Sus scrofa: one gene and its partners. Each later gene encodes a partner of the first gene's protein in a complex. Links are inferred from orthologs where the notes say so. Each region holds a gene or a part of one and is shown in the gene's direction. Other genes may lie near its edges.

Region 1 (3,643 bases):
CAGCGCCGTCGTCCTCACGGTGTCCCCGGGCCTCCCCTCCCCCGTGTTGCAGGTGCCGTGGTCATCGCCTTCGTGGTCTGCTGGCTGCCCTACCACGCGCGGCGCCTCATGTTCTGCTACATTTCCGACGAGCAGTGGACCCCGTGAGTATGGAGCCCGGGTGGGGGCTCGAGCCGCGCCATGCTCCCCGGCACCGGCGGGGGTGGGGGGTGGGGGCGCATCCGGTGGCCCTCGGGCGAGCCTGCGACGGGAGGCAGGGGCGAGGCCAGAGAGGGTCAGACACCCCCGGAGGCTGCACCAGGAAAGCAGGTCCGAGGAGGATCCACACAGGCAGGTAGGGGGCCGTCTGGAGGGGGACAGTGAGGGCTGGGTGTGGGGGGAGGGCTGGCAGCTGTCGGGGCCCCTGGACCACCCCCGCCTGTAGGAATTGCCGGAAGGACCCCCGGGGCTCGAGAGCGTCACACACACGCGTGCCGATGCGTGACAGTGAGGCCGTGCCATGTATGGACACGGCCCCGGCCCGTGGGCGCCCTGCAGTGGCAGCCTGAGCCCGGCTATGTGAGCAGCTCTGCGTGCAGGCCACCGGGTCCAAGGGCTGAGGGACCTTCCTAGCAGCGGGGAGTGTTGGGGAGGGCAGGTCCAGGATGGATATAAGGAGATGTCACAGGCGGGAGAACAACCCAAAATGGTTTCTGGGAGCTCCCGCTATGGCTCAGCAGAAACCAGCCCAGCTAGCATCCATGAGGATGCGGGCTCCGTCCCTGGCCTTCCTCAGTGGGTTAAGGATCCGGTGTTACCGCGAGCCGTGCTGTAGGTCCCAGATGTGGCTCAGATCTGGCGTGGCTGTGGCTGTGGTGTAGGCTGGCAGCTGTAGCTCTGATTAGACCCTTAGCCTGGGAACCTCCATATGCCACAGGTGCGACCCTAAAAGGGGGAGGGGTCCTGAAACTCAGGGCTGCCTGGGGAAGGAGCGACGTCCTGGGGCACGAAGGCAAACAAGCTGTGGATGAGGGGCACAGCTGTCTGGGGGGTGTGGAGGGGGTCCCTGCCTTGGCTGCCCCATCCAGGCCAAGCTCTGGCCGAGGCCTGCGGCCCTTGGAGGGAGGGCGGCCGCAGCTCCGCTCCGCCGACCCGGGCCAGGCGGGAGTGTGGGCTGAGCGTCCCCCTTCTCCAGGGAAGCCGGAGCCCCGGGTCCAAAAAGGCCACGTCGCCTGTGGCCGGGGCTCCGAGCCGCCGCCACCCCGCCGCCGCGGCTGAGCGCCCCGTCCCGCCCGCGCAGGTTCCTCTTCGACTTCTACCACTACTTCTACATGCTCAGCAACGCGCTCTTCTACGTCAGCTCCGCCATCAACCCGGTGCTCTACAACCTCGTCTCCGCCAGCTTCCGCCAGGCCTTCCTGGCCACCCTGGCCTGCCTCTGTCCCCTGTGGGGGCGCCGGAGGAAGAGGCCAGCCCTCTCCAGGAAGACCAACAGCGTGTCCAGCAACCACACCTTCTCCAGCAACGTCACCCGGGAAACGCTGTACTAGGGTGGGGGGGCACTCAGAGAGGGGCTGCCGCTGGCCTCCAGCCGTCCTGGGAGCTGCTCCTCTCTCCCCCCCCTCACCTCCCCTGCGCCCGCCTCGCTCTCCCCTTTGAAAGCCAGAGACAGCTCGAGCCTCCCAGACCGAAAAGGGCCTTAATGGGGAGAACTCAGTGTCAGGTGAAAGGCAGTCGTCTTTGTTCTCAGACTAATGGATGTTTAGACAGAAAAGGACTGAAAGCAGCAGGTCGGGCCGGGCCCTGGGCAGCCGGGCAGCCGTCAGGAGGGGGCGACCCTGGGAGCCGGCGCTGGGTGGAGGCCAGCCGGCAGGACCCTGCTGTCCTGGCACCAGAGGGCCTCCGTCGCGCCTCCAGGCACTCAGGACCCCGTGGGCCGCTCTCCAGCTCTGCCAGGGCAGGTCCTAGGAAGCTTTGATGTGGCAAGAGGACAGTGAGGGGTCAGCCCGGCCCCGGGCCGCCCCCTCCCCGCCACTCCTCCCCAGGCCAAGGCAGCCAGGCTCTGCACAGATGCCACTGCAGGGCCGTTCGGCCGAGAAGCCCTCCATCCCGGCTCTGCGGACACAAGGCCAGGTCAGCGGGGTCCCGGTGGCCAGACCAGTGACATCCCACGTGCTCTCACTCCCCCTGTCCGGCTGAGCTCCTGCCGCTGCAGTGGATGCCCTGCAGTAGAGGGGAGTCACGAGAGATGCCAGCTGTGGGGCCTGGGCTGCAGGCGAGAAGGAGGCACTCTGGGCACCCAGAAGGGCAGATGCCCCCTTGAACTCTGGGGGCTGGTCTCCAGACAGGATGGCCCCGGGAAGGCAGGTCCCTGGGGAGCTGCCCCAGACCAGCTGCGACACTGCGTGGCCGGAGCCAGAAGTGAGACGCAGACCTTTTAAGCAGGTCCTCCCTGGGCCTGGGGCAAGCCCGCCAGAAGGGAGACAGGCGGGCAGACGGGCAGAGGACCTGCGTGGATGGCGATGACCTGGGCCTAGTCTGGGGTCGGCCAGGACTCAGTCCCCCACCCAGGATGCTACAGCATCCGTGGTCCATGGTCACTTCGGATCTGGGCCCTGATGTGAACACTATGTGACTTGCATCCCCAAAGTCCTCCTCCAGGCTGTTCACCAAGAACGGGGCAGGCAGTCTGACCCTGACCCCGTGGCTGCAGCACGGGGCTGAGGTCACTCAGAGCTCCCCATGAGCTTCGGCTCTGGGTGGGAGAGCAGGAGCCCAGCGGAGAGGCTGAGGTCAGCCAGCCCTGGCCCTCAGGACCGCCCTGCCATCCCTGGACCCCGGGCACAGTGCGATTCCCACGCGCCTCGGTTTCCCCAGGCGCCCGAGATGTAGGCGTGGTCACTACACCCACTCAGCCAGGCCTGGACGTGGCGGCCCCGGAGGTGGGGGCAGAGTGGACGTGGGGCGAGATGCCCGCCACCCAGACCCTCCTGTCGGCCCACTTCACATCAGTGGGGACCCATGTCTACGCCCTGCCGGACCCCCCCAAGCCTCCCCAGCTCTGGCTGCATCTCCCTGGAACCCCAGAGGCCGGCTCTGTGTGCCGTGTGTGTCTGGTCTCAGGGTCCAGCGCCCGTGTGGCTGGTCAGCAGTGATGCCGAAACCCCGTGATGTACACTGACCCCAGCGGCGCACACGTCCCGCAGCGACACTCAGTAAAGGAATAAAGGCGACTGGACCCGGCTCCCCAGGAGGCCACGGGCCGCGTGCAGCCGTCACTCAGCAGACAGCCCTCTCCCGGCCCCTTTGCCAACACGCATGCGCTCTGCCCCGTTTCCCGGGGACCGGGCAGGATGCGCCAGCTCAGGCCCTGCCCCCCTGAGCTTTGAGAAGCAGCTGGTGCAGGACTCGGGGTCCCAGGGCTCAGGGTCCTGATCTGTGGCCTAGGCACGGGCAAGGCCCAGTGAAGGTGGGGACCAGGGTCCTGTGACTCTGGGGCGTCCCCTCCCACCAGCCCAAGGAGCTGAAGGGCCCCGGAGGCCAACAGGTGGGGAGCCGGGCCAGGGAGGGCCGTCAGCCTGTCCTCCCACCCAGCGGCCCTGTCTGGAATCTCCCACCAGCAGGAGAGGCGTCACGGCCCCCTCCTTCCCCCGCCCCATCTCGA
Region 2 (4,250 bases), on another chromosome or scaffold:
AATTTCCTGTACATAGTTTGTCAATTCAGATTTATATACAGAAAATTTCCTTGAGTGAGTCGTTTTCAATATTGTGTTGTATGTAAGTCTGTAAAACAAACTAAAAATAGTAAAAAAAATCCATTGTTAAATTCCTAAACATTAAATTACAGGAATGACTCCTTACTATTTAAAATTATTATTCATCTTCTTTGGTATAGGGTAAAATGGAGAAATCAATTCCATAGACATATACAATATAATTTAAATCAACTCTCTGTAGAAGTCGATCCAGACTTCTTTTCTTGATTGTTACTGTATGATTGATGTGCTTAAGAAGTGAGAAAGTCTCAGACACCATTTACCTTCAAATATTCACATTTCTAACAGCACCACCTTTTAAGATCACACCATGTATCCTGAAATACTTAAAGCAAGAAGAAAACTTCACTCCAAAAGACAATCTGAGAAATTTTCTTCCTATAACCAGGAGAGGGAATGGGTGTCATTGTAACCGGCAAAATGTGTGAAGATGCTCTTAGAAACGTGCCTGGTGGAGAGCGGTTATCTAGGACTATTTCCTTTCCAGAGTATGGTCTCATTTTTTATGACTCTCGCAGAGGAAGAGATCTGATGCAATGGTGAAAACCAGTGAGAGAGGGATTACAGACTGAATAAGGCATGGCGTCAAGACTGAATCCAAAAGGAGCAGGTCAACGCCGACAGAAAAAGAGGAAAGTATCAGAAAATAGCAATCGGTGATGCAGTGCTGCATATTTCCACCTGCTAACACATAAATAGTTTAGAGCTGGGTTTTGTAAACATCAAATTACTTTTCTAAGACATTCAACCATAAGTCAGCATATACACTTCCGTCATCCTTCCAGTTACTTAAAGACTTTTTGATTTTTAGGAAAAAATACCCTATTCCTTAGAGCTACTACTCTCTTTTCTTAAAACTGATTTTCTCTTTTCTCTAAAGTATTTTGCTTAACTCAGTATTATAACTGGTTCTCTTCTAGCATGTACTAAGACTTGTATTAGTCCCCAAACCACAAACCCCTTGTTCAAAAGTGCGAATTACCAGAAAAGAATTCTCTGTAAGAACTTCTAAACATAAAGGATTACTGATTTCAGGCATTCATCCTGGAGGTTTTGCTTATATTAGAAATAACAGGTCTCATGCTTCACAAAATCAAAATGACAATTTAGAGTCAGGGAATGAGAGGAAATGGGGAAAGCAGGGTGCTGGAAGTTCTTTTCCCGTAGGCTCTATATAGAATTGCTTTTGAATGACTCCTTCTGTGTGTCAGAAATCCGGAGCAGCAGTAGCAATTAGGGACGATGTTACTTTCACTGGAGGTTCAGGAGTGGGAGAGAGGGGCGGGGGGACAAAGGAAAGGGGAGGAGGAAGTGGGGAGCAGAGGGAGGATGAAGATGAAGGGCACATCCTGAAGAGATGCTCGTGACATCATCCCCGGCATATATATATAGGGAAGGGTCAAAGCATCTCTCATAGTTCAGTCACTTCCAAAGTCAGCTGGAGGCTGGAGGAAGCGCGAGAGAGTCCCTTCAGCTTGTCTCTGACGTTTATGGACTTGGCTTGCTAGAAGGCTCAAGATGATGATGGCAGGAATGAAAATCCAGCTGGTGTGTGTGATACTGCTGGCTTTCAGCTCCTGGACTCTGTGCTCAGGTAAGCTCCTTCTGCATTTCACAACTCCCTGAAGGGATTTCTTTTAATGGTTATTGTTGTTGTTGTTGTTTTGCAGTGTGTTGCTACTTACATTAATGCATTCAGGGAGAAGAGTCTCTCCCTTATTCTGGATTGGCTTTTGAGTGGCAGAAACTAGGTATTTTCTTGCTTTGTCCTTATGATCGCAAGAACTGAAAGATCTCTTTTTCATTTTTAAATCTGAGAGATAATAAAAGGGATTTTGGTGAAACACGTCATGGCCCCCTTTGCAGTGTAACCACTAGAGAAAACCAAAATATGTAAAACTTGAGTCAGGCTGGCCACTACCCAAAGAAGGAAATGTGAGAAAGTGAAAACCTGTAATTAAAACTGATTCCATTTGGGATGTTTGATCTTGTCCTCATTCATTCTCTTAGGATGAAGTGGCTTCTCTCTCCCACAAATTATTGTCTTAGTTGTATGTGTATTAAGATACAGTAAAAATTGATGTTTGATGAACAAATGAATAAAGCATTATTTGTGGAAATTTATTTCTAGAAAAATATTAAAAAAAACCAAGCTCTTTTACAAATACATTTAATGTCACTTTTCTATGTGACAGATAGGCATACTATTAACTGTTTTTTTGCATGTTATTTAAGTTGATTCAGGATGTAACTGGAAAATTGTCATTCTTATATTAAGAAAAATTATTTCCCTGCAGAGTATTTTGCCTGTGATAATTAAGAAGAAACCATACATTGCTAAATATTTATCAATAGCTGACTTTGAAAATAAGATTTAAATTTAAAAGAGTAACATGAAATATTTTAATGATTGCAATGTGCTCCAATTAATGTTTGAAAAATAACTGAATGATCACATCAAAATGAAAAAAAAAAAACAGAAGGGCAGCAAAAATCACTTAACCTGCTTTATATTGTTGTATCTTATAAATGTGACACTGAAATATTTCATTCAAATTCCTGATTTTATTTAAATTAATATAAATGTTACTTAACATTTTAAGTTTCTTTTTATCATTAGAAAAAGATCTTGAACTTCTAACTTGCAAATGTTTTTATGAGAAAAATATCAACTTTCCCACAATGATTTTACCTAATAGTTACATGAGTTTAAAGGTATACTTAGAGTATGTGAGAAAAATGTAATTGATTAAGTACAGTGTTTATTAACTCTGGAAATTTCTTGGTGTGATAAGCTAAAATGTGTGAAGATTTTGGGCATACATTTTTGACAAATGGCTAAAGGAATTAATCTTTCTTCTTGAAAAACAGATTGGACCTCTACAAAATAGGAGAAAAAGATCTCTGGTATAATTTAGTTCCTGGTACAATTTAACAAATGTGCCACTTCTCTTTTGCAAGAAATACAGAATCATTTTAATTTCTGCTTTGTTTTATGATATATATATAGCTCAATGAGTATGAGCTAGTTCATCTTGTCAGGTTCTAGAACTTTATTTCTATTACCTTATGGTATTTTCTAAAATTTTCTCCCCTGTAAAATATCCATTAGAGGAGACTGGGAAGGTTATTTTAAAAAAATCAGAAATCCATTTTCAACATTATTGCACATGTATTGATGGACAGCTCCACTTGTGCTTGAGCAATTTCCTTGATAGCCTGTGATAAAATTGCTAAGAGCACATAATTCTAAATTCTTGTTTAGTGTATAAAAACAAATCTTTCTAAGTGTGTTTGTAAAACAGCATCTGAAATTAAATATATTGCAGAGTCTTTCCTATTCTAAAATTATCAACATGCTATTCCCTTTGGTCTCGTCTTGAAAAGTGTCTTGTACATACCTTTTCTTTATGTTGTTTTAAAAAATCAATATGCATATATTCTATATATGTAAACTATTGCTAGTAAAACTTAACCAGCATATTGATGAAATCTCTATTATATAATATAATCAATTTTTTTTACACTGACATTTAGAGATTAAACAATTCCAAATCATCAGTAGCTCTCTTGGCATAAAATCACGTGCTTGTTTTCTTAAAAGTGTTTTTATTATCCTAATAGCCTAAAATAAAACTGTAATTGTTGTTCTGTGAATACTGTTTTAGGGAGAATAAATACAGAGGAGAGACAATAAATTTCTAAAACAAAATTTTTGAGATTCATCTTAAATCTCTGCTACAATTATATGATGTATGATTATATAGTAACATGTGGTTTTGATTTTACTCAGATTCAGAAGAGGAAATGAAAGCGTTAGAAGCAGATTTATTGACCAATATGCATACATCAAAGGTAACTTTTTCTTTTTTTTAAACCAAGGACTGGAAAACATATTCACTCTCCTTATAAACACAGTGTCCTTTTCCTATAGCAATAATTTCCCAGTGAGACTGAAGAGTTTATTGGGAGGCGGTCCCTTTTTGGGAAACTTTTCCTTAAATTTAAAGGATTAAGGGTGTTGATGTGACAGAGAAAGAAATTATAGGGATTGCAAATCATTATAATGAAATTTTAATTAGGTCATCATATATTATTTACATGGGCCTGCAAATTTGTTTCTAAAAACCCGCTTTCCATTCCAATCACATTGTGTATGATGATGTCCA
Region 3 (3,643 bases), on another chromosome or scaffold:
GGCCGTGCTGGGGCCAAGAGGAGTGGCGTGTGGTCCCAGAGCCCCCCGGGCAGGGGAGGGGGCAGAGAGAGCAGAGTGACAGGCTTTGGCTCCGGGGAGGAAGGCCTTTGTGACCTTGGGGCAGGAGACCCGGGGAGTCCCTGGGGTCCTTGAACAGGCTGCGGGCTCCAGAGTCCTCCAGGCCCCTCTCTTCATGGCCTGGAGCAGGGGGACCCCGCTTTTCCTCTCCAGCCCTAGCAGGTGTCCTCTGAAGCTCACTGCTCCCTCTGCCTGATGCCCCCTTCTCCCTGAACTTGGAGGCAGGAGGCAGGACTCTGTGTTTGCCTGTGGCGGCTCCAAGGCGGGGCTGCCTGCAGGCGGTCTGAAGCCGGGGCCTTTGAGGGTCGTGGTGGGGGCGCAGGGGCCAGGGGAGGGGCAGGAGCAGGAGGGCTCTGGCTCCCCCAATGCACACAGGCACCCTGAGAACGGCTTGACAAGTGTCCACAGGGCACCCGTTTCATGCCAGGCCCTGTGGATCGCAGAGCACGCCAGAGCTGATCAAATGACCCGCAGAGAGAACTTTCTCCCTTACAGCACTGAGCTGGTTAGTTCTTCCCGATGCTTAACTATCCCCCTGGCTGCCCTTCAAACTTGGGGGCAAGTCCAAGCCCCAGCCTCACACACCGGACGTTTAAGGTCTGGGCCAGGCCCTCCTTCCTCCGCCAGCCTCCGGGATCAGCTCTCCAAGCCTCAGAGCAAGGCTCTTGTCGCTGCCACCATGGGCTGGCTGTCCCTTGGTCATCTAACTGATGACCGTTACGCCCTGGCTCCAGCTTCCCTCCCCCAGGGAGCTTCCGGGGGACCCCTTGTTAGGGGAGTGCCCTTGTCAGGGTCCCCCTCCTGGGGTTCCGCTCAGTCCCTGGCGCCCAGGCACAGAGGAAACCCCCCAGGAAAGGAGGGAAGGGGCCCGGCAGGCTCTGGACATGGGGTGGGCGTGCCCTTGACCAGCTGTGCCCTGGACCTGCCCAGCACTGGGGGTGGGGGGGGTGGTGACCAGGAGCTCGCAGGGCCCTCCCTTCCTAATGTGGCCTCTGAGCTTCTCTGAGCGGCTGGCTGTGGGCCAGTGTGGGATGGGGGTGGTGGTGGGTTAGATGGGGGATGACAGGCGAGGGAGTGCCCCCAAACCAGTCTTTCTGGTCTCCTGGGGTTCTGGGCAGAGAAAACATCCTTTGTCTTCAGCTGGATTCTGCCTTCCCAAGGCCAGGCCTTGGGACATTCTCCATGGGGTCACCTGTGCCAGGCACTCTCCCACCCTCTGCACACATTAATTCACGTGGTCCTCACAGGAGCCCTGTGAGGTACGTAGCCCAGAATCAGAAGCCTGATCCCTACATCCCGCATCCAGAATCTTAGAGCGCTGCAACTTGCTCATAGGCTTGATACAGGATTTCACTAGCGGCAAACCTGACCTGAACCGAGGGGAGGCCATTCATGCCTTCGCCTCTCGGTGAACAGATGCCCGTGTCGCTGCAGGGGTGTTAAGGGGTTTGGCACAGAGCCTGCCGAGGACCTTAGAGAATCTGTGGAAGGTGTGGCCGTGGCCTTTCCGCTTGATATTGGGGTTTGGGAGCCAGCATAGTATCTCCCAGATGAAGAAACAGAAGTTATATAACCTTAGAGTTCCCATCATGGCGCGGTGGAAACGAATCCGACTAGGAACCCTGAGGTTGCCGGTTCGATCCCTGGCCTCACTCAGTGGGTTAAGGATCCGGCGTTGCCGTGAGCTGTGGTGTAGGTCGCAGATGCAGCTCGGATCCCGGGCTGCTGTGGCTCTGTGGACCCTTAGGCCTGGGAACCTCCATATGCTGCAGGTACAGCCCTAAAAAGCCAAAAAAAAAAAAAAAAAAAAAGGCAAGTTAAACAACCTGTTGGGTCTGTGAGGCTGGCCTCGGTGGGGGTGGGGGGCATAGTGGACTCGTCTCCTGGGAGCTGCTGGCCTCCGCCTCTTTTTCATGATGCTTTTGGACAGACAGATGGGTGGGTTTGAATTTAACTTGGTCTTTGGGGCTCAGAAGTTTGAGAGGTCAAGTCTGCTCACTCTCTGTTTTTCCTGCAGATGGCGTGGTCCTGGTGGATCCTGAGTATCTCAAGGAGAGGAGAGGTGAGCTGTCCCCCCGCCAGCCTGTCAGGGGGCCTCTCCTCCCCCAGAACCCCCAGTCCCAAGGCCTCCCTGACTCCCAGACAGAACGCTGGCAGGAGGAGAGGCAGCAAGCCGGTCCCTGTCCCTCCCCACTGGCTCTTCCTTTGACAGCTCTAACCAGCGTCAGAGCAGGTGCTCTGGCCTCGTCTGGCTGGGCGGCCGTGGCCACGCCCCCTTTGGGAGACCCTCTTAATGCCCTTGGCATCCACCCACCCATCCATCATGCTGTCGGGAGGCTGGGAATGCAAACAGGGTAGGAGTTAGGCCCTCACTCACTGTCCAGAAGAGAAGACTGATTCCTGGGGGGGGCGAAGGGATGGTCCGAGGTCAGCAGGAAGGCGGGAGGCAGGGGTTGGGCGGGGCAAGCCCTCATGACTTCGGGACACCACCCAGGCTTGTTTTCCCCCGACTCCACTCCCCTGTGCTCCTTCCCGGCCCCTGTGAACCCGTCAGAGCCCCTTCGCCCCCGTGCCCTGGGCTGCTGGGTTGGGAGGGGTGGGGAAAGCTGAACGGACCCAGCAGTCAGCCCCCGCCTCGTCCCAGGGGCCAGGCCCCTGACGGCCCCCCCCCCTCCCTGTCCCAAGGGCAGCGCGCCCTTCCCCGGGGAGGCGCCCAGGGACAGATCCATGCCTCTGGTGGAGCCAGTCCCAGGGCTGGGGCGCGTGTTGGCTGCTCCCCGGCCCCCCGGCCCCTCCTCAGTGTCCCCTGCCCCCGCAGTCTACGTGACGCTGACCTGCGCCTTCCGATACGGCCGGGAGGACCTGGATGTCCTGGGCCTGACCTTTCGCAAGGACCTGTTTGTGGCCAACGTGCAGTCCTTCCCGCCGGCCCCCGAGGACAAGAAGCCCCTGACGCGGCTGCAGGAGCGCCTCATCAAGAAGCTGGGCGAGCACGCCTACCCTTTCACCTTTGAGGTCAGGGACTGCCAGCCCCCCGGGGGCCCCATTCCAGAAGCCTCACCTCTAGCAAGCCCCCTGGGTGGCCCCCCCTCCCAGGGGGCAAACTGGGGCAGCTGCTCCGTGCCACCCAGTCCCCCAGCGTTCGCTGGCCAGGGCGCTGGCACTTAACACCGCCTGGTGAGTGTCTCTTCTCTGGGCACTGCCAGGGGGCGTCACCTTTAACCCCTGGGCTGATCCCCAGACCCTCCTGAGTCCAGGTCATTGGTGGGGGGAAGAGGGGGATGGGCCGTCTCCTCCCTCAGACCTGCTGCCCACGAGCCGGCCCCCACCCAGCTCACAAATGAGGAGGGCGAGATTTCCCTGCTCGGCTCCCTTTCCACTCCAAGAATCTGGAGTTTCAAGTTTCCTGTTTCTCAGACTCTGATTCTTCGATCAGTGAAATCTCCCAGCTTTCTGTGGGGGTCAGAGACAGAAAGAGCCACCCTCTCGTGGTTTCCTGTGGCTGCTGTAACAAACCACTGCAAACCGGGTTGTAATTAAACCTGCAAATTAAAACACAACTGTG

Evidence for each region.
Region 2: the proteins of NTSR1 (region 1) and NTS are in contact, whole or in part, in a crystal structure (PDB 4BUO), measured with the Rattus norvegicus proteins. The link is inferred for Sus scrofa from reciprocal best matches to the Homo sapiens genes NTSR1 and NTS. Residues at the interface, in NP_001102437.1 of Rattus norvegicus: Ser53, Asp54, Leu55, Asp56, Asn58, Phe128, His132, His133, Tyr146, Met208, Val224, Cys225, Thr226, Pro227, Ile238, Arg327, Arg328, Phe331, Cys332, Tyr333, Ile334, Ser335, Asp336, Trp339, Phe344, Tyr347, His348, Tyr351; in NP_001095851.1 of Rattus norvegicus: Arg157, Arg158, Pro159, Tyr160, Ile161, Leu162.
Region 3: the proteins of NTSR1 (region 1) and ARRB1 are in contact, whole or in part, in a cryo-EM structure (PDB 6UP7), measured with the Homo sapiens proteins. The link is inferred for Sus scrofa from reciprocal best matches to the Homo sapiens genes NTSR1 and ARRB1. Residues at the interface, in NP_002522.2 of Homo sapiens: Ser93, Leu94, Gln95, Ser96, Leu97, Gln98, Thr100, Val101, Arg166, Ile170, Pro173, Lys177, Phe286, Ser287, Met288, Ala289, Ile290, Ala297, Leu298, Gly301, Ser368, Asn370; in NP_004032.2 of Homo sapiens: Tyr63, Arg65, Asp67, Leu68, Val70, Leu71, Gly72, Leu73, Thr74, Phe75, Arg76, Lys77, Asn245, Thr246, Ala247, Gln248, Tyr249, Lys250, Lys284, Arg285, Gly286.

Annotation. Positions count from the first base shown.
Region 1 is NC_010459.5:62,031,019-62,034,661, forward strand, and holds part of NTSR1 (neurotensin receptor type 1), read left to right. Parts: intron 1-52; coding exon 53-143; intron 144-1,279; coding exon 1,280-1,529; 3' UTR 1,530-3,643. UniProt on the Homo sapiens protein: G-protein coupled receptor for the tridecapeptide neurotensin (NTS). Signaling is effected via G proteins that activate a phosphatidylinositol-calcium second messenger system.
Region 2 is NC_010447.5:96,270,096-96,274,345, reverse strand, and holds the start of NTS (neurotensin/neuromedin N), read left to right. Parts: upstream 1-1,398; 5' UTR 1,399-1,599; coding exon 1,600-1,675; intron 1,676-3,874; coding exon 3,875-3,936; intron 3,937-4,250. UniProt on the Homo sapiens protein: Neurotensin may play an endocrine or paracrine role in the regulation of fat metabolism. It causes contraction of smooth muscle.
Region 3 is NC_010451.4:9,540,084-9,543,726, reverse strand, and holds part of ARRB1 (beta-arrestin-1), read left to right. Parts: intron 1-2,095; coding exon 2,096-2,140; intron 2,141-2,896; coding exon 2,897-3,093; intron 3,094-3,643. UniProt on the Homo sapiens protein: Functions in regulating agonist-mediated G-protein coupled receptor (GPCR) signaling by mediating both receptor desensitization and resensitization processes.